4 linked regions of the Oreochromis niloticus genome follow. The protein of the gene in region 4 interacts with the protein of the main gene of each other region in a pairwise test. Links are inferred from orthologs where the notes say so. Each region holds a gene or a part of one and is shown on either strand. Other genes may lie near its edges. The genes, in order: lrrc45, exoc7, mob1a and kxd1.

Region 1 (7,049 bases), on a different chromosome or scaffold from region 4:
CAGTGGGCTATAGCTACAAGAGTGCACGCACTGGGGTTTCCTACTGGTGGTGCAAGTGCTGGGAGGATCAGAAGTCCCATATTCAGACAGGTTGTAGACTTCTGATCGCTTCTCTGGGAGAAATGTTTCCTGAATTCAAAACTTTGGAGGTGAATGGCCGACCTGTGGTGTCTGCAGTTTGGGATTGCGAGGTTACCTGCCGGCCTTTCTCCTCCTTCAGTGTTTGAATCTCCTTGCTGAGGACCTGGGTCCGGCTGCGGCTCTCCCTCAGGGTGGACCGCCTGTCTGAGTTGTGCCCTGTGGCCTGCTCTGAAAGGTAAAGATGGCTCTCAGCGTAACCATGTTATAGTAATGCTAACAAAGCCATACTGCTAGCGTTACGACCTCTGGTAGGACTTACCGAGAGCTTTCAGCGTGTCACTGGGTATGTTGTTCCCAGCCATCTCCAGCTGCACTATGCTCTTGTTGTTTTGAAGTGCCTCCAGCATGGACCTGCCTCCCAGCAGACCAATATTGTTCCACCTGAGATCTGAGTAAGTAATGTAAGAGGAGTTAGCATGGACCATCTGCTGATGACAACAGCAGGCTCTGCAGCTTAAACTTATGATGCTGCCATACGACGGAGGCTGCTCTTAAAAGCTGTTCTCTACCAAACAATACGGTACATGACGTTAACCAGTTAGTGTCACCTAGAACTTCCAGTGTGCTGTTGCGTTTGAGTGCCAGAGCGAGCTCCGATGCTCCATGGTGGTTGATTTGATTGTTGCGCAGGTCCAGCTGCGTCAGCACGCAGTTGGAAGCTAAACCGCTGCAGAAGAGCGAGAAAGCTTCGTCCCACACGCCCAACGCATTCCACTCCAGCACCAGCCTGCAAAAACCAAACACTGCCAGTTAATTAGGCACACTCTTCAGTACTCAGACTATGTGCTGACAGATTCCTTCAATGATCAGAAATGCATGATAAGACTGTGCATTTGGTCACGTTTCTGCTGTCTCTCTGACGGGTTTATTTTGTTTTCAGTATCATGACCTCCAAATTCCAGGAGCAGGACAGACAGAATAGTTCAATGACTATATATGATGTCCCACACTACAGGCTGTCTGTTCTTACTTTCATGTCATGTGTCTTTCATGTGTTTGAAAATTGCCACAAATGCAATATTTTTGTTCACATCTTGGTTGTTTGATTGAAACTCATTTGTGGTGAAATACAAAGTGTCAGAGTGTTTCTCACCAAAAACAGAAGTGACTACAGCGGTTTTTGTGTGGTCAACTCAACTACTAAATATTCTGTGTGATCACTAAAGTGTCTGTCTGTCTCTACACACAGCCTGCGGGCTTTCGCAGGTCTCCTGCTGTTAAAAGACAGCTTACGATCTGTTGTTGTGAACCGGTACTATACAACTATTAACAGCCATAAGGGAAAGGAATGAAATGGTTCACAGACACAAAGAGCATGAGTCTCACCTGTGCAGCGTCTTGTTTTGTGCCAAGAACTGTCCCAGCACCTCGGCTCCTGATGATCTGAGGTTATTCCCCTGTGAACAATAAAAACACAACCTAAGGACACACAGATATTGTGCAATAAAATAAAACTAGTGTCACCGTGTGTGGAGAGTCTAATTTGGGAGGCGGTACCTTTAGATCCAGGACTTTGACAGTTGTGTTGTCAAACAGTCCACTGAGGAGCACTCTGGCACCTGAGAGTCACACACAGCACAGTGACTAACACACACACACAGAATTTAATCCTGCACTCAGCATCCTGAGTCACAATATTTACCAGAGCAGCAAATGTGGTTTATTATGCTAATGAGAAAAAAGATCTATATGAATGTTTTCTATTTCTCTGTTTGTTTGTTGCATTTAAAAAAGACTGTTTGCATTTATCCTTCTAATTCAAGCAGCGCAAACTCTGTAAATGTGAAGATCTGTTCAGGATCAGAACCAAAGGACTTTTTGTTGACAGCATCTGTGTGATATGTAGCCTAACACACTCATTCTGATAGTTTTATTATTTAACCATCAGACTGATTAAAGTACATTACATAGACGTGCCGCAGCAGTGTGACTCGGGCAGGGCCACATCACTGCATCATTCACATTATTGAGGACCATACACTTGCACATACTGTATAATTCTCCACATTACATAAAGACTGTCCTTACGCACCTTCCTCGCTGAGCATGCAGTCACTGAGTGACACCTCAGTAAAGACAGTATCCTTATGGAAGGCCTTAGCCAGCACTGAGCAGGTATCTGCAGACAGGCTCAGTCCACTCAGGTCCAGTCTGGAGCCCTGAGCAGACCTGCTCTCCTGGAGCTGAGCTACAACACCCTCCTGAGGCTCCACGCCTCCCTCCTTACACAGACGGAGGTATATCCGCCTGAAATCCTCCATTCAGGCTCTGCAGACTCCTGATCATCTAAAGAGCAGAGCTTTCTGTCCTCAGACCAACTGGTGAAAAGAAGGAGAGACCAAAGTTCTTACTGCTGCTATCTATACATGTGCTGTTGATTTTCCTGGCATCAAAGATAAATGCATTAATAAATAACAAAAACGCCGAGGGATACTTTTTTTCTTTTGCTAAATTTAAGAAATAATTGATGATCACACGACACTGAATCAACTTTAACCACTGTAGCGACCAGCCTACACAACTGTGTGGATTTAAAGCGTACTGACGTGTATTTTACATGGTAGCTTGTAACAGTCAGACCCACGCTGAACAGCCAGTTTTGAATGAAAGTGACGCGAGGAGCTATCTCCACGCGAGTCAGAGGCTCGCGCGGGACAATCAAATCTTAAACCGATGATCCAAGTAAGGAGGGGTTCAAACCGGGTTTCTTGAGTAGCGATCAAAATAATAATTACAGGTTAAGATAAAAACACAGACCTCCACCAAAACTGTCTTCCTGACAGTTATTGTTGTTGTAGCTCGACCAGCTGACAGAAAAAGGAAACCAGGGCACAGAGTAACTAGGAAGTGTTTGACGCAAAGCATTTTGGTCAACGTAGTTTCGAAAAAATAAGTCTCTATTTATCTATCTGCTTGTTCGTTTTTATCAGGCCTAATCTGTGTGAGGATGAGCTAAGACTGGCTATAATACTGTTTAAACTGATCGTCAAAAACAGAAGGTTATTAAGCATCGTATTGTTTAATGATGTTATTCATGCAGAAGTAAGACGGAGTTTTTGCTCAACCAGCAGGTGGCAGTAAAGACAACAGCGGGTCGCATAGTTGCAACTGGGGGTAAAAGAAGAAGATGGACATTAGCCAAAGAAAAGAGAAACAAGCATGGCTGGGAACGTCAGTAACACCGTCCCTGCGATAACTAGTTCTTTGTCACAGCTACAGGCTTTAAACGGATTGTTTGCGATATATAAAAAACAAGGACCGACCTCCGCAGACGTGTTAAATGTACTCAAGGAAGCTTTGCTCAAGGGTAACGGGACCAAACAGCAGCAGGACGTTCAGCCTGGTGTTTGTGAAAAGCTGACCGTAAATCGTTTGTGTCGCTTTTTCTTTCAGAAGCGGGAGTCAAAAATCCAAACCCGCGGAAGAGGAAGAATCAGAGCCTGAAGATGGGACACGGAGGGACGCTGGACAGCGCTGCCAGCGGGGTGCTGGGTAAGCGGCTAGGCTAGCGTTCACGTCCCGGTGCTGGGCCACGTGCGACTGTTGTCATTCCTGCCCTGGGAGGAGGGAAGGGGGGGGCAAGTGAAGAATTCATTCAAATTTTCTTCAGTGGTGTTTTGGGCCTTTAGTGTTTCTGAGTGGCCCGTGCTTTCTAGCTTTTTAAGAATGGACTACATTGGTAATTTGCTCTCCCTCTGATGGCTGTATTTTGTGTTTGTGCTTTTAGCTCAATGATGGCCTCCTTCAATTGCAGCCTCATATTGACAGTTTCGCTGAACAACTGCCAAATGCAAGTTGTTGTCATTGAATAACGATGTTATAGGACTCGATTTTCCTGATAACTTATGAGCCCAACTGTAGTTCTTATCTTTATTAAAGTGTTTTATAAAGCACCTATGCAGCTAAAAGTGCAGAAGCCTGGTTGATTGACTCCAATTAGCAGAGGTGAGGCCTACCAGACAACCCTGCTGATTGTGCTGGTACGTCTGTCAAAGTGGCCACACCCATAATTTTAGGAAAAATTAATTCAATGTGGTCGAATTAAACCCACAGTCACCATTAAAGGGAAAAGTGGGTAAAGAGACCAAACTGGTCTTTTGAAAGGCAGTGAAAATGCTTTTATTGCTGTTTAGTTGAGAATTTTAACATTGGAGTCAGAGCTAACCTGAAGTGTCTTTGGTGTGTTTCCATGACGAAAGGAACCGTGTGCACCAAGAAATACAAGCAAAAGACGTTAAACGAGTTCAAATATGAGATTTGATGCTCCAGCTGCTGTGTCTTTGTGAGGTGCACGTTTCCCACAGTGTGACATGGCTTTGATTGTAAGACGGCTCTTAACCAGCATGGCTGCTACAACATCCTGCAGCACGATGCCATGTTGTCTGGTTTGAGCTCAGCAGCACAGGGACACGAGAGCACGCCTCCACCTCGTCCTTATACATAAGAAAAGCTGTTCAGTCAGGTTACAGCGGAGTGATGTTGGCTCAGTCTGAGTGAAAAGCAGCTGCTTCACTGCTGCTTGGAAAGTCCCAGGTGATGATGTCATGAAGAAGAAAGGTTGTTAACAACTGTTAACAAAGCACAAAGATGAACACTTAATATAAATGTTTCAGTATATTCTGAGTTTGTGAACTGTGATTAGATTAATGAATTAAAAGTGAGTTCAGTGAACATTTCAACCTGTAAGGGGCGCTAGCAGGACTTTAATCATTGGACTCTCTTTGTTTCAGTTGTTGGTGTTGGGAACGGCACCAAAATGCTCAGCACAATGTTGACTGGGTCAAAGGTCAGTTTGTTTCACTGCTGTTTGAACTAAACTGTTTCTCTGTGCATTAAACCATGACGTCTGGTGAAAAGTGAGAGGCACCGTGCATTAATGCAGTTTAGAGCTGCACTGCTGTGCACTGCTGTGCAGCTCTAAACTGATACCAGCCAACCAGCCAAGCTCTGACTGCTACTCTGACTCTAACATATTTCATTACCTGGATGAAGCCAAACATGTTAGTTTTAACAGATGCACACTGACGTGTTCCAGTACAAATAAAACAACGTGTGTCCTTTAGTTAGTGTCACAGTGAAGTCAGTTTCCCCCATGAACTTCTAGCATTGTGTTGATACGTGCTGATTGGTTTGTGCCTGCTTTCATGGTAGCAGATCTAACAAGTACTAATGAGCTGTTAGAAACCACAACACAAACCTCTGTGTATGTGTAGAAGAAGCACTTTTTTAGGTACAAGTATACATGCAAATATATATTGATAAGGACATTCTGTAGTGTGTATACAATACAGTTCCTCAACAGACTCGAACGTCTCGTTTACATTAGATGTCTGGAATGACAAATGCATGAATGCTTCCTTTAACTTGTTAACTGTGGATGAACTGGGTGTTTCTTTTAAGGGGAAACACAAATGTGACACATGTTGTGTGTTTCTCAGAAATATATTGCCGTTGGAGAGTTTGGAAAAGCAACAGACACTCTTGATGCCACCGGCAGCGTGACTCTGGAGAAAGGTTTTGGTAAATCCATTCATTTGATCTTTCAGATCCCTCGACACAGCAGGATAATCTGCTTTTGCAAACTTCTGTTTCTGCTCTACCGTCTGTCTCTCAGTGAGTTATGTCTTCATATATTTTCCTCTCCAGAACACATAACCAGGTTGGACGTTGAGGAAAAGCTGAAAGCTTTCACTGGTGACATCATGCAAGTGCCTCCGCTGTGAGTACGGCTTCCGGGAGTCAACATCCACGTCTGAAGCATTAATTAGATCAAACGAAACGTTTTTTTCTTGAGATGAAATCTTCTTTTGCATAAATCAAAACCTAAAACTTTTCAGAGCAGCAGCTCAGGACTTCACGTCCTCTGTTACTGTGCTTGTTTGGGATGGTGTTAGATTTGATGGTAGATGTATAAACGTCGGGTTCATGTGAGTTTCCTCTTTGGGGGTTGCAGGCAGTGAGTAGCTCCGTGGTGCAGTGGTTACATGCTTACCTAACATGAAGGTGCATGAATTGAGGCACGACGAGAGCTTTGGACGGTTCATCTTCGAGGTGAATTCCCAGCTTTATCACAGACTCTTCCAGGAATGTGACAGGTTGGCTGATGCAGCAGGAAAATTCAAATCAGGGAACCACAAAATGACTTTGATTGTTAAAATAGGCTGCATATCCATTTGTGGAGAAACCATTTCCATTTTCTGAGGAACATTAGCCGTGTCATCATTTTGAGTCTACACAAGCAAAGATGAGAAGTAGAATCAGAATCAGGGTTTTATTGCCAAATGTTGAGCAGGTTTGCAACATTAGGAAATTGCTGCCGTACTTAGTGCAAAACATACTGTAAGACAACACTTACAAAAACATAAAAATTAAAATTAAAAGTGCTGAGCAGATTCATATATACATGTGCGCAGGTGATGATCAGTGCAAAAATGGAACAGATGCAGTGAACACAGTGTAGGGTCACATGTTAGTGGTGGGAACAGTCATATGGTTGTTGTTCATGAGTCCAACAGCAGAGGGGAGGAAACTGTTCTTATGGCGAGAGGTTCTGGTGCGAATGGACCGGAGCCTCCTGCCTGAGGGGAGCAGGTCAAACAGACTGAGTCCAGGGTGAGAGGGGTCAGCTGTGATCCGAGCTGCACGCCCCAGTGTCCTGGAGGTGTACAGGTCCTGCAGAGATGGGAGTCTGCAGCCAATCACCTTCTCAGCGCACAACACGCTGCAGTAGACACCAGAGGCTTCAATAAGTGGCTGAACTGAAACCAGTTTTCTTTGAATGTGCAGCCAGTTTGATGGCATGTTACAGGTTAATGATATGATCAAAGAGCCGTAATGACTAATTGTTGTAAAGGCTAAGAAATGATGTGTGGGCTCACTGAGGGTGTAGTGTGGACCCAGTTCCTTGT
Region 2 (7,474 bases), on a different chromosome or scaffold from region 4:
TGTACCTGCTCGCTGAGCTCATCGGTGGGAGCTTCATCGCCTGCATGGTCACAATAATCCTTCTGCTCTCATGTGACTTCTGGACAGTAAAGGTGTGTCTCTTATCACTTTAATATCACCACTGTAGGGATGTTGTATTGATTATAATTAAATATCTTGGTGGGGCTTTTTTGCTTTTTTTTTTTGGATTTCTTAAAGCCAGAACTCAGAGGAAGAGTGGACCAGATGAGATAAAAAAAATTAATCAGGAGCTTAAAAGCAAGATTGGAAGTCGTCCTAAAAGCTTGCCAACTGTTTTCACCTTTGGGTTATATATTATTAGTTTTGAATGAATTGTCGGTGCTGGGATGAGATGATGAGCAGTCGTGAGAAAAACATGGTGAAAAGTTTGGTCATAGATCCAACCGTCGTGTTTATTGACAGACAGTTCGGAGCCTTGGAGACGGGATATGCAACAGCCGGTACTGCAAACATCCAGTCATAATCATGATGAAGTGAAGCAGAGTTTACAGGCCAGCCTGACATTTGTAACGTGCTCTTTATTTAATCACTGTAGCTTCACTGCCTACAGTGAGATTTAAAAACATCTGGTTTCTGGATGTTTGTCGTTCACTGGTTCTTGTGGCACTGTTATTGTGTGCTGGTGATGTTCATGTTGAATCAGTTTAAATAGCCTCATGGTAGTGAACAACAAGTCCACATAAACTGGTCCTTCTAAAAGCAAATCTCACAACAAAACTGCCATCTTGGAATCAATTTGAATCCCTTATCAACAGAAATGAACGAGAGCTATGGGATTAATTTCAGTGGTCACTGGTGGAGTGGTTAGCAAACTCACTTGGCAGGTTGCTGGTACGATTCCAGCTGGAGATGCAAATCCTTTTTGGGGTTGAATGGAAATCACATGGTGGGAAACTGCCAAATCAAGCATGCTGAGCTACTCGCTGTGGTGACGCCTTGGGGCAAAGCAACAGCTGAAAGCAGCATTTTAGCTTTTACTGGAAAAGAAAAACTGCACGTAGAAAATCAGCAGTTAGATCTGATAAAAGATCTGACATCGTGACATCTTTACTGCACTATCAGGTACGTGGTGCCTTTTACCACACAGCTGAAGCTGTTGTGACCCTTTAGTGCGTACATGTACAGGGTTAATGTTTTTTCTGTTTGGGCGATCGATTGGCTCATTGAGTGCCATTTTTTTTTTTCTTTAAGGCTTTCCTAAATCTCCTGTAGAATCTCCTTGGATAATATCTCTGGTTGCACTCTGTAAGGCAGATGTGGAACTGGACTCAGTTTCCAGAGTCACACTGTTACACAAAGACTAAATAATTAAACCTAGGAAACAGTGTTCGGATCCAGCACCATGTGAATAAGATTTGCCAGAGTCTCCATAATGAAGCCATAAATCTCTCCATCTGCAGAACATCACTGGGAGGTTGATGGTTGGTCTGCGGTGGTGGAATCAGGTTGATGACGATGGACGAAGCCACTGGGTGTTTGAGTCGAGGAAGGTGAGATGCATCTCTGCTGAATCTGCTCTGGCTCTGACTTGGAGCTTTAGCTAAACGTGACCTTGACCTCTTGCTCTGTATCGGGTTGCACCGCCCAGATGTTTACAGTCAGTAGGCCTTATCATGTTCGCATGTCCTAACTGAGATATGTTTCCGTCTTCTTCAGGGTACAGGGAAGCAGCAAGCATCAGATTCAGAGTCCAGAATATTCTGGCTCGGACTGATTGTTTGCCCCATCCTCTGGGTCATCTTTGTCTTTAGCACCCTGTTTTCATTCAGGATTAAATGGATGGTAAGTTGTTAGATTTAAGTGACTGGACAAGTGCTGTTTTTCTTATTATCAACAAATCCAATTAAATTTTTCTCACAGCACTGTCTTACCTAGCATTCCTGGCTGTGTCTCTCAGCTCTAAGCCCACTGAACCCTATTAGTTCTTGGTGCTTTCTTAAGTAAAATTAGACAATAATTACTTGGTAAACGTGTGCCAGTGTTTTCTTGCTCTCACCCTGCATCTCAAGCTTGCTTTCAAAGTTTTCCTGCTGCATGAGGGGGGACTTTTATTTGCATGTAAACTGTATATAAAAGATGGGCATAGCCGTCCTGTGGTTTTGGGTTTCACAGTTTGAAGCCTCAGTGTTTTTGTTTAGGCTAGCAGATGGTTAGCAGCTACGTTACCTAAAACATCACCTAAGAAAGAAGAAACTGTCTGTAGAGGGCAGTTTTAAACTACAGGTTTTATCCCTCGAGATTGTTGTTTGGGAGTCAGACACAGGAACACAGTGGACTCCTTCAGCCTGAATGCTCCATGTCTGAAATGCTCACAATGTGATTTGAAGCTTTATGAGATGATGTGTCGGACATGCACCCAGTGTTTTCCCAGGAGGCTATATGCTCGTTTGAGGTGCACATGACCTGATGCAGTAAGGTCCCAGTAAGGTTAGAAGTCGTAACTTTTAAAAAATGAAAACAAAGATCAAAATCTTAACAAGGAATCATGATAGAAACAGACACTATTAGACACTGATGGCAGTGAAGAGGTTCACCTTTAGCCTTTTCGTGGGATTTAATAAGGGGAATATGAAATATGACCAGGGTTTATTTCAGAAAAATTTTCTTCTTTCTCACAGCCCGTCGTGATCATGGGCGTTGTGCTGCAAGGCGCCAACCTGTACGGATACGTGAGGTGCAAAGTGGGAGGGAAGACCAGCTTAAAGAACATGGCTACCAATTATTTCGGACGACAGTTCCTCAAACAGGTGAGTTTTAAATAAAACACACAATAAAAAGTCTTTTAATTTAAAAGTATTTGTCCTGTTTCTAAGAAGTCTTTTGTGTTTTTCCTCCTCAGACGCTGTCTAAGGAAGAGGAATCGTAGAGTGCAGCTCTGCGGCGTTAACACATCTGCATTATTCTCAATGCTCTGATATATAAACCTTCTTTTTCTCAGTGGACACGGGCAGGAAAGCATTCTCAGAAAAAGGGCAGTTTTTGATTGTGTGCTTTCTTTAAATGACTCAGTAGAGTTGTCTTTATCTTCCACACAGAGGTCAGAGGTGGGTTTTCACTACCTGAGGTCCAGCAATAAATCCTCTGATTACCGAGAACTGCATGAGTGTAAAACAGCTGACGCGTCGGAGTGACTGTAGTTTGTGTCATAGTCTCACAGCTCCTTCAGATTTCTTCTTTTAGTTAGTTTGCCTCTAATAACTTTATAAATTAACAGTAATTAAAGAACCTTTGAGAGATGTCATACAGACATTTTGGTTTGTATGAAAGTGTGTAAAGTGTAACAGGAGATTTGTAAATATGTAAGTGAACAAACTGTGTGAAGAGTCATCTTTTGTGCAAATACATTTGTAACGTTTTTCCGAACTGGGTGCTCGTGTTTATTTATGTGGAGAGTCTGATTAGTTCCAACTTTTTATAATGCGGGAGCCTCTAAGAAAAGAAAAGTGTTGAATAAAAAGAATCCCGTAAGAGATTCAAGAAAAAGGAATAAATATAAATAAGATTTGTTTCCATTAACCAACACTGTTCCAGGTTTTTGTTTAATTTCAGAAATTTATAGACTCAAAAATAAAAATATTACTTAATGAACTGAGTTTAAACATTTAGTCTGCTAATTCCACGGTTTGTTATTCATGTATCTAATTAGTTATGACTGTGTTCTCATGCTTTTAATGTGTTTAGTACTGAGTGCAACAGCGACCTCTAGTTGTTGGTTCTCGTCATTGCATGTAATTGCAAACATTTTTTTTCTCAAAAACTTTGAGAACTCTTGATTACAGTTCACAAATAACATAAATATTTAGGCGTTTGTGTAAAAGTGCCTCAATGACAAAATGTCAGTGTTGAAAAGTTTTCTTTAAACTTAAAAATCTTCTGATTTACATTCTTAGACAACTACCTGTGTTTGTCTTTTGTAAATAAAGTTTTTAAAAAAGATATCCGGGATAAACACCCCTTACCGGAAGTCGGTGTATTTGACCTCCATAATAAAGGTGACTCACATTATCTAGCAAAAAGGGCAACAATTGTGATAAATGGGGGGACAAAAATCTTATATTAAAGGATATAAAAATTTACAAAATGTAAAAAGAAAATTAACACTTTTGTGGGATGTACACCTCATACTGCTTTACTCTGTTCATTTTTATTGTCATACAAACAGTAAATGCATTCATTTCTAAAGCTTTTTAGGTGGGTGGGACAAAGGCTTCACAATTTTAGTTGAAGACTATACCCAAAAAAATGACTGTGCTCCATAATAAAAGACAACTGAAGAAGAATTGTGTGTTTACTTTCATTTGCAGTTAGAATAAGATATTAAATAAACTTAAACGTAATCCTGATTTAGTACAAACTGATTGGGGGGAAAACCGATGAGCATTTTTTTCACTGTTCAATTTAGTGCCGATGGCTGTTTTATTTTGAAATTCTAACCGGAAACCCTTGCCCTGTTACGGCTAACCAAACTAGCTTAACCTCACCGCTTTTAGCTATCCATGACAGCGGCTCAGGGGTGTCGTTGTTGTTTTTATTATCTAAATCGGCAACTTAGTCACGTTTTAGCCGCAGAAGAGACTCCTTTGCTTTAAATTTCCTCCAGGATGATTCCTACGGAGGATGCGTCCGCCAGGAAGCGGGAGATCGAGGAGAAACTGAAGCAGGTCAGACAGCTGGAGGCTTGAGAGGAAGGAAGCTTCCCTTCGAGCTACAACCCACCAATGTGGCTCAATACCCGAGTTTAAAATGATGCTTATTGACCGAAGGAGTGTCTTTAATGTCTTCAGAGTGAAATGAGCGAGTGGTTGGTTTTCTTTCTGCTGTTACAGGAGCAGGAGACGCTGTCGTTCATCCGGGAGAACCTGGAAAAGAGCGATCAGCTGACCAAAAACATGGTAGGACGGTCCAAACACACCCAGGGACAGCTCAGGCTGACACTCATAATTCTCATAATTAAAGGCGGCGGACTGATCTCCATTCGACAGTACTTTGACCCATTATTAAAAATAATTATTATTCTTGTACTTGGATTGAAATATCTACTTATAGTTTCTATAGATTTAGTGAGTCGATGAAAGCAGCCTGTGGTGTCATTTTTCAGCTTTCACCCCACTTCAGCTGGGACTCATTATTTAAGGCGCTATATTAAAGCTGCTTTTATAGCCCAACTGGTTTTTCACCTGTATTTCTTTCCCAAAAGGTCTCCATCCTGTCTTCATTCGAGAGCCGCCTGATGCAGCTGGAGAACTCCATCATCCCGGTTCACAAGCAGACGGAAAACCTGCAACGGCTGCAGGAGAACGTGGACAAAACTCTGTCCTGCATGGATCACGTCATCAGCTACTACCATGTGGCCAAAGACACGGACAGGATCATCAGAGAGGGGTGGGGATGACCTTCGTATGCAAATGTTTTGTGGTTACACAAACTCCGACATGTATACTAATTTTCTTTTTTGTCTCAGACCTACAGGCAGACTGGACGAGTATCTTGCTTGCATTGCAAGAATTCAGAAAGCTGTCGAATACTTTCAAGACAACAACCCAGACAGCCCTGAGCTCAACACAGTGGTAAAATATCTGCCTCTCTGAAATTACAGTTGTGGTAAAAATTTTACAATCCACTCATCATAGGTGTGAATGTCCTGGAAAGTTTGGGCTTTTATTAATTTCTTTGAAATGTTATTTTCCCAGGGTGGGAAAATAATAGGATTGAGGTGAGGATGTTGGGAAGACTGTACCAGAATCTTAATGTTGTCCTGCTTTCTGTGCTCTTGTGTTTTTCTAGCAAAATACATAAAACGAGCCTCTGATAAATACAATGTGTGTATGGTGTGTCGTGGTTCTCACAGTACTACGGTGAAAATATTTTTTTTAGCCACCTGTGTCTGAAAGATAAAAAGCTATCTGAGGCACATGAAGCCAACAGTTCCCCGTATTTACTGACTGAACAACATTATACACAGCATAGCTCTCTGTGTGAATCGTGCTGTTATTCCTACATTCATTTATGTGTAAATTTCATGCACTTTTTCCTCACTGCAGACGTCTGCTTCAGTCTCTGTGCCGTTCCGAGTCGTAGTCACTAATTTCATGACCGTATCTTCTTCTGCAGAAAGCACGCTTTGAAAAGGGGAAGGAGCTGCTGGAGGGCGAATTCCGCAGCCTCCTGACCCGCTACAGCAAACCCGTTCCCCCCATCCTCATCCTGGACGCCATCAGCGTGGATGAGGAGCTGGAGGTCCAGGAGGAGGTGGTGCTGGAACACCTGCCCGAGGCCGTGCTCCAGGACATCATCTGCATCGCCGGCTGGCTGGTGGAATACGGACGTAATCAGGGTACGGCTGTGTTTGTTTGTTGGAGGTCTCTTCCTATTTAAAGGAAGTTCTTTACCACATTTGCAAAAATCATCTGATCGTTGGGCTTTTCTCTCTAATATTGGAGGTCCTCTACCTTACAATCTAAAAATCATCTTACCACCAGAGCTGGGATGATGTAAATGATTAAATTGGCTTTGAAATGTGCAGGCGGTGTAGAGAAACTGGAAAGATTGTGTCTAATTTTGCTCTCCTCTTCCTGCAGACTTCATGAACGTCTACTTCCAGATCCGGTCCAACCAGCTCGATCGCTCCATCAAAGGCCTCAAGGAGCATTTCCGCAAGAACAGCGCCTCCTCCGGTGTCCTCTACTCGCCTGCCGTCCAAACCAAGCGCAAGGACACGCCAACTAAAAAGGCCCCGAAGAGACCAGGTCAGCAACAGATGTGCCTCATTCAGACCGAATCCACAATCACGCCACTTCAGTCTGTAATCAACTCGCTGTCCAATCCCGTCTTCCATAGATCAGCCTAACAAACACGCATGATCCTGCATAGTGACGGATATTAAATACACTCGTCACTACATCCACAGTCTGTTTCTGTCTCAGGTTATCCTCCACAACCTCTCTGTAATCACTCAGTTCACCGAGCTGTAGCGCACTTCTACCACACACTGTGTTTCTCTGTGATATTACACCCTGCTCTAACTAATCCTTCATCCTCTCCTCTTTCATAATCCCTGTGTTGTGATGACAGTCTACATCCCAGGTAAACACAAAGCTCTAGCGTGTGCCTCGTGCTTGCTTCTGTCCGTCAGATGCCACATTTCACGGCAAATCAGAGACAGCATGAGGGTTTGCGTCGTTTTATTAGCAGCTGAGACAGCAGAGGTTTATTTGTCCTGTTGATGGTGTAGTAGGTGATCCAGTGGAGATTTTAACCTCTAGTTTCACGGCAGAGCGTTTCGGTGATGGGATGAGTAAGGTGGAGGTTGCCACCAAACCGCCGATAAACAAAAGTTGATGAAATTTCTTTACAATTTTACTAGAAATGAATAATTTATAATTGCATAGAATACAAATTATTATTTATGATTGAGACTAGCTCTATAAAATGATGTGTAAGGATTATCTGTAGT
Region 3 (7,241 bases), on a different chromosome or scaffold from region 4:
TTTCGTAGTCTTGATGGCGGCTATGTCAACAGGAAGTGAACCCCCCTCGTCTCTTCCTCCTGATTAGAGACTGAGCGCAGAAAGTCTTGGCAGGACAGAGGATAGGGGAAGAGTCTAACTAAACAGCTTCTACAGGGTCCACGTGCAAGATTTAATTCCCGTGTTCCTCATGTGACATTCAGATGACTGATTTGAAGCTGATTTAACTTAACCACCTGCACCACTAAAAATGTGATCTGGGAATCTGATTCTGCAGTTAACTCAGGAGATCAGATCTTAACAGCTGGACCAAGTCTCTTATATAAAAGAAAGCCATTTTTATCTCAGTGAGACGTCCTGGTAAAATAACAGCTAATAAATAGATAAAGTGTAATTGTGGAGCTGATAAAACAGAGGAAGTGGGCCGCATGAAATGAGTCAGCTGAATTTAGCTTTATCTGATACACAGTGCAAAACAGATTTAGCTTTTTGTTTTTCTTTGTCTTTTTTTGTTGGGGAGTTGAGTTAAATCCTCAACAAAAACATCATGTTTGGGTATCAAACACTAAAAAATGTTTTTCCCATAGCTCAATAATAACCCAAGTCTTAAAAGTCAAAAATTCACTTCTGTTAAATGTAAAAATATATAAATAATCTCAAGTACAGTCAAAGGCCAAAATAAGATAGATATGAAATTTAAACTAATGCATAAAAATGTGCCTTTGCTCTGCCTCTGAGTTTTGCTGGCCCGTGCTACAGAGTCATGTGTTAAATGAAGCATTCAAGCAAAGAATTTGTGTCGAGAATTTTTTATAATTGAATTACTTGATTAATCACTGCAGCCCTAGTCTAAGTGTTGTATATACCTTTGAAAGTGGGCCATTGTGTATATCAGTAACCACACCGATAGATAAAGCATCTAAACACCCGTGTTTTTCCTGATGTTTCACAACGTGTCTTCAGTTAAATATGCCCTAGTGGAAATACTTTTACTCTAAATTAAGAGCACAAACATGAGGACAATGATTGGCGTTACCTTGGTCCTGCAGACATCACGGAGCAGCTCGTCTCGGTGCAGAACTCGGTGATGGTACCGTACAGCATGTTGATCTGGTTGAAGAAATCCACCGCTAAAGGAAAGAGTAAATTCTTATTTGTTTTATCCAGAATTTATGCATGTTATTGTGATGAAAGAACTGGGAGATTATAATATGTATTTTAGTATCTACACTCACAGTTTAATAGATTTAAAAGCACAAAATGCTCATAAGCCATATATTTAAACATACCATGTTTTATTAGAGATAACATATAAAACATGTAATTCTACAATACCTGCTTAATGCAACAACCAGTTATTTACCAGTCTGCCAGCTGTGTGCACTCTTCTATGACCCTATTACTCTTTTTACACCACAGGGTGGTGCAAATGTGCAGCACCTGTACAGAACTATTTTATTTATGATTCATGTTAACACTGGGCACAGGTACAAACTTTAACTGGTTAGTTGGATACTGTGTGTGCAGGGTCATTGTACTGAGTCACTCACTATTCACTGCAATCCATTCATTGAGATCCTCTCCCTCTGGCAGCATGACAGCCTGTCTCAGGTTTCCGCTACCCAGCGTTGCCTCTGCGTGTTTCAGCAGCTCATACTGGTGGGAGCCCTCTGGGATGTTCTTCTTCGGCTTGAAGGTCTTAGATGAGCGACTACCACTGGACAGAATTTAAAGTGGATCTAAGAAATATTGTCTTCATGGTGGTCATGTGGTACAGGCCATATCTGTCTGCCCCCCCCACGGGGTTAACATTTACCCTTGAAAGGTTGACAATGTAATTTTTACACCTTAAACATCTGATAAACATACTGTTAACTGGACATGTTGATCCCTGCATGACTGACTTTCATGTGTTTTCCTTCCTCTTTTATTTTTTTCTTTATAAGGTCATTTGCAGTAAGATTGTCGAATCAAATGTGTAACAGGACAGAGAGCTGAACACAGTAAAGACTGAACTTGTGATAGTGAACTACATAAACAACAGACTTTTATCTAAAGTGTCGTTTTTAAAAGGCTAATTTTAGAGTAGATCCTCTTCCTGGGCCTTGATCTACACACGGGAGGACTCCTGTTCATGTGTGCACTCAGCAGATGCAAGCTTGGTGGTGGACATCTATAAACTTCACGCTGAACTCGTGATGGGTGACCGCTGCAGCGTTTGCCATCAAACCAAAAAACTTTGGCTTCCACAGCGTCAGAGCCGTGACTCAACCACATTATAGTGTATACCCACTGACAGGAAATGCACCAGTGTCACAGTATTACTGTAAACAACGGAAACTTAATTAGCGGCGTTACTTAACATTTTATAACCACCCAGCGAGATTAGACCTCCAAAGGTGTGGGATATGACTAAAAATTGAATGTCTAGCCTCACTTAAGTCAGTTAAAGAGTGACCATATGAGCTAAGCTGGCTAACCAAACGCGAGTTAGCGCTGCTCACCAGGCTAGCAAAGTTAGCACGTACTAACTCACTACTTTAAAAAGTTACAGTTCGTGAGTTGTGGCAAACTGTAAATCAACAGTTTCTCGATCATGTTACAATCATCAGTGGTAGCTCTGCGTAAGGAAGGCGTCACTTTAACGCAACTTAAACCTATACTAAGACTGGGATGCGGTTAGCTGACTACTTTATGTAGCGGTGTCTTATTTTATCGCCCCTTACTTCCCTTGACTGAACTTCGTAGAAGCGCAGCTAACATTAACCGCAAGCTCCGGCTGTAACTTCACGAGCGCTTAAAAAAAGAAGAAAAAAACACTTTACTTACAACAGGAAGCTCATCTTGGCGCAGGAATCGTTAAAGTTCCTGGATTTGAACTCTTGAAGCTAGTTTAGTAAACAGAAACGCGTTTTAGGAGTACACTGTGCGAGGCACTTGTCAGGGGTGCCTGCTAACAGCAACAGTGAAGGCTAACATGAACTGCACCCACAGAGCCTCTTCCTCTGTCTGCTGTCTGCTGCAGCGCAAATGGTAGTCTGTCGCCCCCTTCAGTCTGCCTGTAGGTATTACTACGTACATTTTCCAAGCTCAAGACCTTTCTGTTATAAAACTGTTACTTTCTCATGTGTCATCCTGGAGCACTGTGACATACTGTGACACTGTAATACTGTGACATAGAACAATCCCCTTAAATTCTTTATGAACTTTTGATCATTTAATATGAGGACAGTGTGACAACAGTGAGCTGTCTGGTAGGTGCTACGGATGAGGTCAAAGTCAGGGTGGGATTATATTCAGTATCGGCTTTGAGCCCCTTCTTGTTTGCAGTGGTGATGGACAAGGTGACAGATGAGGTCAGGCAGGAGTCTCCGTGGCAATGATGTTTACATATGGCACTGTGATCTGTAGCGAGAGTAAGGACCAGGCGGATGAGAGCCTGGAGAGGTGGAGGTCTGCTCTTGAGAGAAGAGGAATGAAAGTCAGAGGAAGCAAGACAGAATATATGTGTGTGAATGAGAGGGAGACAGGTGCATTGAAGATGTAAGGAGTAGAGGTAGTGAAGGTGCATAAGTTTAAAAACCTGGGGTCAACCATCCAAAGAAACAGAAAGTGTACAAGAGAGGCAAAGATGAGAGTGCAGGCAGGGTGGAGTGGATGGAGACGAGTGGTGGGTGATCTGTGATACAATGATAACAGCAAGAGGGAAAGAGAAGGTTTACACTGAAACCTGCTATGAAATATGATTTGGAGATGGTGGCCATGAAAGGTGACTGAGGTGGAGGTGGTAGAGATGAAGATGTTAAGATTTTCTTTGGGAGTGAGCAAGACAAACAAGATTAGAAATGAGTAAATCAGAGGGACGGCTCAGGTTTGAAGACAAAGTTAGAGAGGTGGGGCTGAGAGAGACACTGGATGCTGAATATGAAGCTGTCAGACAGGAGGAAAAGAGGACGACCTCAGAGAAGGTTCATGGATGTAGTGAAGGAGGACATGAAAAGGGCTAGTGTGATAGAGGTGGATCCCAGGGACAGGGTGAGATGGAGATTTTAAATCAAACAATGGATATACGATCTAAGTGCAGACTGTCAGCTTAAATCTTTCTCATTTTCAGTTAAATAATAAGCTATTTCATTGCCAGGTGATGCCTGTTCCCTCATTATAGCAAAACTAATTATGCCGATAAAAGATCTGGAGTAAAAGGTCTGAAGCGTTGAATTTGCATTTGGAATTCGCAATATGAGGCAAAAAAGACACATTAGTGCAGGTGAAGGCATCGTTAGTTTGGAAACACAAATCTATCTGAGAGGTATCAATATATACATATATCTTTGGACATATAAAACAAGATGAACTTGTACCTGAAAGATGGAGAAGAGAAGAGAGAGACAGCATATGATCCGAAGCATACAACATTATCTGTCAGAGAACCTACTTTCACTCATATTCATTCATATACCCGCCCTGCATGTGCTCTCCAGATAAGGAAGTACAGTACATCTCGGTACTCTCCAAGCTCTAAGCTAAGCTGTTAGCTTGTGGTTCCACCAAAGAGCGAGAACAAACAGTGGCAAACAGAGAACAGATCAATGTGTTTCAAAAGGTTCAGTCAGGTATTACATTTTTCCACAAAACCTCCAGCAGACATGGGGTTAACTCCAAAGAATCCACTGCCTTAGTACTGTTTTTCCTTTAAGTGCCCACAGTTTGACATGAACATGAATACAGATAAGACCTACATTTAATCAAGTGCTCAACTAAAATACAATTCTTGTGTATCTGTACATAACTGAGTATTTAAACGTTGAAAGAAAATCTGCTTTAATACATCCAATAGATAAATGTGCCATGTAGTTGTTTTTTATTAGGGTTTAAGAAAAAACAGTTTTAAAGGATATTAAAGCTGCCAATAGGGAATAAAGTAATTACAATGGTTCAACTTGACCAAGAAAGCCATGATAATCATTTAGTAATCTAATAGTAGCAATCCAGTTTCAGCGTTGCTTTTAGTTTTCTTATTATAATGTGGGTGTTAAGAGTTAGAAGCAAGATTTATAATATTATAATACAAACACAACACCTCATTTGATACAGACATGATGTGAATTTACACCAAAGCCTCATTAAGCTGTCTGGGTGTTTCAAATCTGACCACACTGCCAAAAAGTAAGAATGTTTTCTGTTTATTTTTTATTTCAGTCAGTCTTGTAAGTACAAATTATTGTTTCCGATTTCTTCTCTCATTTTTATTTTTATTTTGGTTAATGAACGAGTCCATGAACAAACGTATGAAAAGTGACACAGACAACAAAAAAGTCATGAGAAAAATGAAAGTCGGTCAACCCGATGAGTGCAAAGCGTCCTGTGGCTGCAGAACAAGCCCAAATCAACACCCCTCCACCACCGTGCCTAACAGCTGCTATGAGGTGTTAGGTTTATGACAAACACGGTGCTGTGCATTATGATCTCCTTTTTGGTCTTGTCTGTCCACAGGACATTGTTCCAGAGGTCTTGTGGTTTGGTTCAGATTCTTTTTAGGAAGAAGAGGCTTTCTCCTGGCAACTCTTTCAAACTACATTTATAGTATGAACAACAACTCCATAGTGCCTTGTTGCCTGTAGCCTTTAGTCAGAGTCCTCAGATGTTTCCTCTTCTTTGTGCACCTCAGAAGTTGAACCAGAAACCTCAAGCCTGTTTCCACAAGGATAGAGGGAAAAACAAGCCATGATTGTTACTCTTTTACTAACTGTACTGTAATGACCTTTAACATTTAACATGCCAACTGAGGCCTGTGGAGTCTGTGATGGGGTTCTTGGGGTTTTTTTTACACTGTCTCTGAGCATTACAGGGTGTGACCTTGGCGTGAACTGCTGTGAAAACTGCAAAAAGTTCTGTGAAAATCCAAAACAATTAAGTTAGTTTTGCAAATATATAATATGCTTAAGTTTTTATTTAATGAATTAGCTTTTATTTCAGTTGATTCAAATGTTTTACCACACCTATACTTGGTTTCAGTGTTGTTTTAGTTAGCTATGATGATCCTGGTTGTTTGAACGTGGAAACTGTACGTGAAAAATAACTTTAAAGCTCTAAAAACAACAACAACTCTGACTCTATATTGAAAGAATAACGGCCTGGTACCGCTCATGAGCTTCCACGCTGGGCTGCTGTGAAGGGGCAGAGCTCTGCAGCAGAGGGCTGGCGACTGATAGCAGTGACGTAGGCAGCTTCCACGAGCGGGGGGGAGGTGTTTAAAACCGCTCTGCTCCTCTTCCTCCTTCACAGCCTCCCTCCGTCAGACCCGGGGTTTCGTAACCGGCGCTGTAGCAGTGTCTCCTCTTCTGTGAGCCGGTGAGAAATGGCAGCGCTCAGGACTCTCAGGAAACTGTGCCAGCACACACAGCACCAAGTCTGTAAACTGCACACGTCCGCCTCGAGGTGAGTCTCCTCCGCACATCTGCTGCGGCTTTAACGGTCATTTTACGACCTCTGAGGCGCTTCTGTTTCCTCACTCGGTAGGAGTGTTTGGTTCTTTTTTAGTTTCCCCACCCCCCGTGTGCCCTCTTATTTGTAGGCTTTTATGTACGCGGATGAAGTCGCTGGGTTTTATTCTGCTGGCTTTTATTGTTTTATTGTACTAAACGTCCTCAGTTGAGCACATTTCGCAGCGCCCCTAGCGTCACGCCGGTAATATTGCAGGTGTAGATGAGGGGTGGGGGGGCTGGCTGATGAAATCTGTGTGACTGCTTGCACCCAGTGGCAGGTTTCAGGTGGAGTTCGAGGTGTAGGTGTGCACACCTGGGGCAAAATGAACATGCAGGGTATATCTGATCACGTGGTCTGTAAAACCTGATATAACAAGCTGAGAGTAATGCTACAGCAGCTAGTCAGCAGCCTGTTAAGCGTTTGCATCGTGCAGGTATTTATTGGAAACTTGCTGAGTGCAGTATGACTACATGCAATTAACTAATCTTTCACACACACAAAAAAACTACTCTTAAATCTCGTGGGTCCTGCGCATGATCTGCGTGATTTGCAAAGACACAAGGCTGATAATTTAGGACATATGCATGTGTGATTATCTTACATCACTGCTTGCCAAATTAGATCTGGTGGGATCACGTTACCTCAAGTTAATTTCATTTATATATGTGAGGAAAATTTCTGCAAACTCAGCTGCGAGAAGGACTAGTGCTGTGTTATCATGTGCAGAGTAAACAATAACAAAAGATAAATATTGTGAACATGAGTTATTCAAACAT
Region 4 (7,695 bases):
GATAAACATACTTCCTGGTTTTATAGGAAATAAATTATATAGGGTTAACAGGAGACTGTTGAATAACAATGCTGCAACAAGTGCAATCAACATTTGCAAAAACTAACTACCAATATTCAGAGTGAGATTAGATTTTGTATCTGTTATTTATGTTGACATGATGAGAACTTCTTCGTACAGACAGGCTTTTGCTCAGGTCTACTGTATAGTTATACACATACAGATATACAGTGGTGTATTATACAAGTTCAAGTATTTTCTGCATTATTGTGGTGCTATGCAGGCACGACACAATTATGTATGGCAAAAAAAGCATCTTTCTCATTGACAGTGCAAAGCCACCTCAAAACATCAAACAAATAAATGACCGCAAACATTACAGTGGCAAGTGCACATGCAATTATACAACAAGTCTTCCTGAAAGAAAAAAAAAAAAAAAGTTTAAAGTGACCCATTAACTGTTCGCTATTCTGCGGGGACTGAGTCAGGACCCTCATCCTGCAGGACAGCTGTCTCTAGGAAGTCAGAGGTGGGCGTGTCAGGTGGCTCCTGAGAGAGCTCTTCAGAGCATCTGCTCACAGTGGGCGAGATCACATCTGGACTTGTGTCACATGACTCTGTGCTCTGCTCTGAGGTGGCTGTTGTAGTAGTTGTGGCAATGCTTGGGGGAACTGGGTCAAATTCATCGTCATCTTCCTCAGAGATGGGCGACTCATGGATGTCTGTCAGGAAAAATACATTGTTTAAAAAATTCAATTTACAGTGCCGTGAAAACGTATTTGATTTCTCCCTGATTTCTTAGGTATTTGCATATTTGTTACACATGTTTAAGATCATTAAGCAAATTTTAATATTAGACCAAGATAATCCGACTAAGTACAAAATGCATGTCTAAACCTACCTGGTCCTGTGTGAATAAATCATCGCCCTCTAAACCTGATAAACGTATAAACTGTCACCCTTGGCTGCAAGACCTGCAGTCAAGTGTTTGTGATAACTGTCAATGAGTCTTTGACATTGATGTGGAGAAATTTTGGTCCTCTTCTTTGCAGATTTGTTTTAATTCAGCCACATTAGAGTTTTTGGACATGATCAGCCTGTTTAAAGTCATGCTTAAGCATCTCAGTTGGATTTAAGTCCAAACTTTGACTTGACTACTTCAAAACCTTTTGTTTTTTTTAGCCATTCAGTGGTGAACTTGCTATGATGTCCTTTTTAAGAAATGCTCTGTTAGTTTTACACCAAATAAAAAGGGACTGCAACCTTTTAAGTTCAACTTTAGTCTCGTCAATCCTCAGATTATTTTCTTGATGTAAATATTTTTGTGAGAGGAGATGATTTGGTGTTTTCTTTTGGGTCAGCAGTGGTTTTTGCCTTGGAACTCTCCCATAGATGCCAGTTTTCTCTAGTCTCTTTCTTATTATTGATTCATAAACACTGACTATAACTGATCTCAAATGTTGTCCTGGGGCCTTCTGTGATCTCCTGAAAGAGTCGTTGATTTACTCTCAAGTAATTTTGGTAGGCCACCCTCTCCTGGGAAGGTTCACCATTGTTCCAAGTTTTCTCCATTTGCGGATTTTGGTTCTCTTTGTGGTTCGCAGGACTTGCAAAGCCTTAGAAATGGTTTGGTAACCCTTTTCATAATGAAATATCAGTCAACTGTGTTTCTCAGCTGTTTCTTTACATTGTGGCACGAGCTGTCTCTTTTTGAGATCTTTTAGCTTACCTCACTTTGTCAGGTTTAGTAATTTACTGATTCAACAATTCCAGCAGTAATCAGGCCACTAGTGTGGCTAATGAAAGTGAACTTAATCACAGTTAATTAAAGTTTCAAGGGGTGGGGAGGGGGTTATTAAATATCCACATAGAGCCAGGTTAGATCGGATGGCCTTTTCCCCCCATAATAAATGAAAAACTGCATTTTGTATTTATTCTGATTATATTTGTGTAATATTACCATTTACTTGATAATCTGAAACATGGAAAAAAAAAAAGAAATCAAGTTGTGATGAATAGAAAGAAAACAACAACTCACTGCTGAAAGCTTCTGGATACTGCTTAGCTATCTTTCCTTTTAGTGTCCTGGAGAGGCAGAGAAAGCCTGTGATTAAAGGTGTATTTTTTGTTTTTGCATGTTTGCATGGTAGGAGTAGTAGACACTAACCTGATCCTTCTAAAGATGCTGTCCAGATCTTTCTTCATCTCTACAAGGGTGCGAGTGTGGAGCAGGAAACGCTCATTCATCTGCTGCAGGCGTACGTTAGACAGCCCATTAAAGTTGATCAGCATTTCATTGGTTTTCTCAAAGCGGTCGAGCCTGTTTTCACAACAGTTAACCAGAGAAACAGAAATCTTAATCTGAGACACATATGATCAACCCCAAACAGCAGACAGAGTTTATATTTCATGGCAGGAAGCACCACTGGGCTCAGTCTGGCACTCACATGTGTCTCTGAGCCTGGATGATGGCGTTAACATCCTCAGAGTTGACCATGCTCAGCATCCGATTGCAGAACACGTCAGATGCCGTGTGCTCCACCATGATGACGAGCAAGCCGAAAACTGCAATTGGAAACATTTACTCACAACTGCATGAGCCAAAATATCCAGAAATGTAAACACAGGCATTTAATCAACGAGAAAGAAAGAAGCTAGAATTGTGAACACTAATTAAATCAGAGGCAGTCAACTCCAGCTGTGAATTATTTATTCACCGCATGCTGTGCCGGTGTTTGACTGCCCTCCAGCTCCCTGTTAGCACCCCAAACCAACCACCGCAGGATTAGTACGCTAGCTACCGAGCCGTAATAATAATAAATGCAACTACAAAGTTTACATTACTTACCTGAGCTCGGACGATGGCTATCTGTAGAGTTTCGACGACTACGCAGCAGATTAAGACTACATTTGACAGCTGGCTGTGAGACAAAAACAACCCACTTCCATATGTTTTTCAAGTTCCTGTCACGAGACCACCGCTTCCGGTCTACGGGTTTGTTTTTTTTGCTTGTCTGTTTTCGTTTTTGTTTTTTCATTAATTTCGTTAATATGCAATTTATATTCACTTATATATTTTTCATTGAATTAAAAATGAAATTGAGATGTTTAATTCTACTGAGCCACGTCATTGTGTTTTATTTTGTTTTTACGTGCCATTCTTTCTCAATTTTATTTGTTTTTTCCCTACTGAGCTAATGTAATTCTACCCAATTTCTTCTGTTTAACTGAGATCATTTTTGACTTTAGTGAAATGTTTTCTTTTGTCATTATAATGTTATTTTATTGAGCTGTTGTGCTTTATTTAAGCTACTTTCTTACAGAGTGTGTTTTGTTTCGGTCGCTGCAGAAGTAATTGCATAATTATTTGCAAGTCATGGACGGAAATTTCAGTGACAATGAAACACACGACATATTTTTCTCGCCCGGTGACAGCTAGGATAGGCTCCAGCACAACTATGATCCTGAATTGGAAAAGCGCGAAAAAATGGATGCATGCATGGAATATATTTCGAGTGTATATGACCGTGTTTGTTTAAGTGAACTTGAAGAGCAGCAACATGAATAGCCTTATGTACATTTGAACTCCTATGTTTCTCTCTCTTAAAAAAAATTAAAAAAAAAAATAGTGTAATCTATACTCACCGGCCACTTCATTAGGAACACGTTGTTACCGGGTTAGACCACTTTCGCCTTCAGAACTGCTTTTGCTTCAGAACTGCTTCTTTGTGGCATAGATTCAGCAAGGTGCTTGAATCAATTCTGAGATATTTTGGTTCATATTGACATTATGGCATCACACAATTTCTGCAGATTTGCCAGCTGCAGATCCATGATGTGAATCTCCTGTTCCACCACATCCTAAAAATGTACTGGATCGTGATCTGGTGCATGTGGAGGTCATTTGAGTACAATGAACTCTTTGTCATACTCAAGAAACCAGTTTAAGATTGAGTGTTGTGGCTTGGTTTTGTGACATATCCTGTGGAAATCAGCCATTAGATGTGTACACTGTGGTCATAAAGCAATTGACATGATCGGCAACAATACCCGCGAAGGCTGTGGTATTTAAACAATGCTCAGGTGGTGCTAAATGGCTCAAAGTGTGTTAAGGAAATAGTCACCACAACACCAGCAGCCTGAATCTTTCATACAAGGCAGAATGGGTTCATGCTGTTTATGCCAAATTCTAACCTTACCATTCTCCACCATTACCACTGGAGCAGAACTAGAGCAACATTTTTCAAACTTTTTACTGTCAAGTTTTGGTGAGCCTCTGCAAACAGGCTGTTCTCAGCTAACAGGAGTGGCACGCGTTGAGGTCTTCTGCTGCTGTGGCCCATCTGCTTTGGTGGTCAACATGTTATGCGCTCAGAGATGCTCTACTGCATACTTTAATAGTAACGATGAGTGGTTATTTGAGTCACTGTTGCCTTCCTATCAGCTCAATCAGTCTGACATTTTCACTCACTGGCTATTCTCTTTTTAAGATCATTATCTGTAAACCCTAGAGATGTTTGTGCGGGAAAATCCCAGCAGATCAGCAGGGTCTGAAATATTCACACGGATACATCACATGGTGGAAAACATGCTACATTTGCAATCTGGCTTGCTGATTAGAGATTTGCCTCAAACAGTTAGACAGGTGTATATGTATAATGTAATTATGACATCCACGCTCATATTTAGAAGGTAGCGTCCCTCTTTCCCTCCCTTTCCGGCTTACACCAATAAATTCAGTCACTCCATACATCCAGAAAGCTCACAAAATTAATTTTTATTAAGGGACAAGTAAAAAAAAGTACATGATGTATAAAAAATACAAAACCATTTTGTCTAACTTCTAACTTGTAAGTTAAGTAAATGCATAGCAACAATACATGCAAGTCTAGAGTTATGTATCCTACTATTGTATCCTACTATTCTGTGACATTTTTAAGCTACAAGGTAAAAAGGGAGAAGTACAGTTTGGTTGCAATCTATCAGCTGTTTCAGTCTACAAGTGATGATACAGAATAAGTTAGGTTGCACGCAACTCAACCGATGAGCAAATAAATATTTAACAACATTTCACAAATATTGACAACCAGTAATTGAACGCAATGTTAACCAAAGCCTGCGTGAGAATAACATTCGACTTCTGATGAATAAAACCATACTACGAGTAAGCTAAAGATGAAAAGAATTCACTTCTCTAAGTAGGAATACAAATAAATATGAAATAAATAAATAATGAAACCTATATAAAGAGCCATATGACTCATCCAACCCCTTATGTACATAACACAGCCGCTGCTCCTAACTACAACATCACATGTATGAAATTTCATATTAGTGTTATTTTTAAAACATACATATAAATGACCTCGGACAAGCACAAGTGTCCATAGAAAACCTGCATTGATTTGACATTGGGTGAATTTCAATGTGCTTTGGCTTTCATTTGATAAATAAAGTAATATTAGGCAATATATCACAACACATTTGTGGTATATAAGAGGCAATGGCATAGAATTTTAGCTTGTATAAAGTCTTTTACCATATACTGACCCGGGAATGATGGAAATCACTGATATTGATATTGCTAAAATGACTGATAGACCGATTTTTGTGTTTTGCTGTTGTATTGTGTGGTATTATTATGCAAAGACACTTTTATTTGTTTTTTTTTTTTTACATATAAAAATAAGTTAAAACTTCAGAAAAATGGATCCAAAAAAATAAAAGTAAGATTTACAATTTCTTATAAGGCCATGCAATTTTTAGAAGACTCATGCACCAGATCAGTCGGTCTTTTGGATGAGTGGGCTTGCCATTCATGCAAAAATGCACTGTGTGTGTTGCTGAGGCCACAATAAATATTTGTACTGTCCCTTTTTGTTCCTTAATACCAATCCAGATTTAACACTAGCGCTGTCTGTAACACATAATTAAGGCTGGTGTATTTGCTGTTGAAGCTGTGAATAGGCCTTATTCAAATGGGACCCATACGTATTTACACACAGAAACGCTAATCCAGTCTAAAAACCACAAACTCTTTGTTAGGAGTGGATGTTGTCGTGAGCAGACAGAAAAACAGAGGGTTACTGTACAGGTCTGTGCTCCGTCAGTGTAAAGTGTCATTCATTCCAAAACGGGAGATATCCACCATTTAAAAAAAACAAACAAAAAACCCAGATATCAACTCTGAACAAAGAAACCAAAATTAATTAACCTCATTATATTAGTCATCTTAACATATATGCTTATAAAACATCTTCACTGAGATGGGTTCAGCTGTGTGTTTGTGAGCTTTAAGTAGCACCTTTATTTCTGTAAATAAGTGGATGTATTGCGTTTTGGAATAAAATCTGATAAAAATGTACCAGCAAAGTGGAGCTCCAGCATTTCAAAGTAGATCAATTACACCGAGTATGATGGTCCATCGTCGGGATGGCAAAAATATTAAATACAAAGTAAAGACAGACAACGGAGAAACACAACAGTCCATAAGTTATCATTTAAATGCAATCAACAATCCTCATTATGGAGAAAGGATTTTTCAGCTGCTTTGTAACTGAAGGCAATCTGAGGCAACTTTTTTCTTTAAGTGCTTGAGAGAAAAAAAAAAACAGCACCTCAAGATTTCTTCAGAGATGTGTGTGTGTGTGTGTGTGTGTGTGTGTGTGTGTGTGTGGGGGGGTGACTTTACCACCCTTCCTCTCCCACCACCTCACTCCTGACTGGTGGAGATGCAACCTGCAGCTGAGCAGACTCTGCACTTTCACCACAAGTTGCCATCTCCTTCACTTCCTCTCCCATCTGGGATTTTTCCACACGCACCCGACCCTCCTCTGCCTCCACCTCTTCTTCCTCGTCCTCGTCGTCCTCCTCCTCTTCCGCCTCCTCCTGCTGCTGTTGTTGCTTCTGCTGCTGTTGTTGTTGTTGTTTGTTGCGGCAGCACGGTTTGAACAGGTGGGGGTCGATGAGCACCTCCCCGAAGCGCCCCTTGTAGATTATTCCACAGCACACCTTTTGCCTGCACAGAGCATGAAATGAGACAGAAACCATTATGGCTCTGTGTGTTTACTCTGTTGACAGCATTGCATTAAAATGCATTCAGTGTTTAATCTGGGTTGTCCTGGATTAGCATGACACTTCATGTGGTAAAGGTAGTACTGAGTATTTGACACAAATGAATGCATTTTCCTGTTGTTTCTCTGTTTGACAAAGAAAAAAGATGCGCATTAGGCTTAAAAGATGAAACATCAGGCACCACAAAAAATCCTCTAAGAAAAACTAAATTTTAAAAAATGTATTGAAAAACAAGTCAAAAATCAAAAGTCAGTTATTAAATCTATTTAAAAAAGGCAACATTTTAGTTTTTTTTTAATTAAATATATTTTTATGCTTTGATAGATTACTGGTCTCAAGCAAGTTTCAAAATCTCTACAAACTTTGCCAATAAAACATTACAGATTGTCTGGAAGGTAAAAGTAAACTCAAATCCTAAATACATTTATAACAAACCTGGAAAATTGTCAATAAAAACAAATGCAATTAGTAGTCAATGACCCAAAACGAACAAACAAAAATTATTAAGTAACAGTTAGTAGTATTAAGCTAAATACATAAAGAAATCCCTGTAATGTCACTGTAATCCGGCAGGTGGAAACACCTGTCAGGGTGGGGCATCGGTGGGAGCATCACCTGTAT

What was found.
Region 1: the proteins of kxd1 (region 4) and lrrc45 interact in binary tests that used the Homo sapiens proteins (3 or more experiments, as listed by UniProt). The two-hybrid records come from large-scale screens. The link is inferred for Oreochromis niloticus from reciprocal best matches to the Homo sapiens genes KXD1 and LRRC45.
Region 2: the proteins of kxd1 (region 4) and exoc7 interact in binary tests that used the Homo sapiens proteins (3 or more experiments, as listed by UniProt). The two-hybrid records come from large-scale screens. The link is inferred for Oreochromis niloticus from reciprocal best matches to the Homo sapiens genes KXD1 and EXOC7.
Region 3: the proteins of kxd1 (region 4) and mob1a interact in binary tests that used the Homo sapiens proteins (3 or more experiments, as listed by UniProt). The two-hybrid records come from large-scale screens. The link is inferred for Oreochromis niloticus from reciprocal best matches to the Homo sapiens genes KXD1 and MOB1A.

The regions. Positions count from the first base shown.
Region 1 is NC_031973.2:28,377,716-28,384,764, reverse strand, and holds the start of lrrc45 (leucine-rich repeat-containing protein 45), read right to left. Parts: upstream 3,019-7,049; 5' UTR 2,899-3,018; intron 2,827-2,898; exon of another isoform or gene 2,688-2,826; intron 2,460-2,687; 5' UTR 2,403-2,459; coding exon 2,174-2,402; intron 1,701-2,173; coding exon 1,639-1,700; intron 1,539-1,638; coding exon 1,468-1,538; intron 869-1,467; coding exon 690-868; intron 530-689; coding exon 401-529; intron 310-400; coding exon 197-309; intron 1-196. Other genes in the region: pseudouridylate synthase TRUB1, read left to right, coding at 3,301-3,448, 3,535-3,633, 4,872-4,927, 5,580-5,661, 5,788-5,860. UniProt on the Homo sapiens protein: Component of the proteinaceous fiber-like linker between two centrioles, required for centrosome cohesion.
Region 2 is NC_031973.2:3,946,449-3,953,922, reverse strand, and holds the start of exoc7 (exocyst complex component 7), read left to right. Parts: upstream 1-4,452; 5' UTR 4,453-4,622; coding exon 4,623-4,682; intron 4,683-4,847; coding exon 4,848-4,913; intron 4,914-5,218; coding exon 5,219-5,403; intron 5,404-5,482; coding exon 5,483-5,588; intron 5,589-6,132; coding exon 6,133-6,355; intron 6,356-6,599; coding exon 6,600-6,767; intron 6,768-7,092; coding exon 7,093-7,104; intron 7,105-7,474. Other genes in the region: tvp23b (Golgi apparatus membrane protein TVP23 homolog B), read left to right, coding at 1-92, 1,422-1,511, 1,678-1,803, 2,640-2,768, 2,861-2,887. UniProt on the Homo sapiens protein: Component of the exocyst complex involved in the docking of exocytic vesicles with fusion sites on the plasma membrane.
Region 3 is NC_031977.2:19,147,183-19,154,423, forward strand, and holds the start of mob1a (MOB kinase activator 1A), read right to left. Parts: upstream 3,005-7,241; 5' UTR 2,823-3,004; coding exon 2,809-2,822; intron 1,697-2,808; coding exon 1,530-1,696; intron 1,110-1,529; coding exon 1,016-1,109; intron 1-1,015. Other genes in the region: mthfd2 (bifunctional methylenetetrahydrofolate dehydrogenase/cyclohydrolase, mitochondrial), read left to right, coding at 6,338-6,417. UniProt on the Homo sapiens protein: Activator of LATS1/2 in the Hippo signaling pathway which plays a pivotal role in organ size control and tumor suppression by restricting proliferation and promoting apoptosis.
Region 4 is NC_031972.2:56,468,844-56,476,538, reverse strand, and holds the start of kxd1 (kxDL motif-containing protein 1), read right to left. Parts: upstream 3,008-7,695; 5' UTR 2,849-3,007; intron 2,566-2,848; 5' UTR 2,546-2,565; coding exon 2,448-2,545; intron 2,321-2,447; coding exon 2,168-2,320; intron 2,086-2,167; coding exon 2,039-2,085; intron 723-2,038; coding exon 466-722; 3' UTR 1-465. Other genes in the region: sinhcaf (SIN3-HDAC complex-associated factor), read right to left, coding at 6,688-7,018.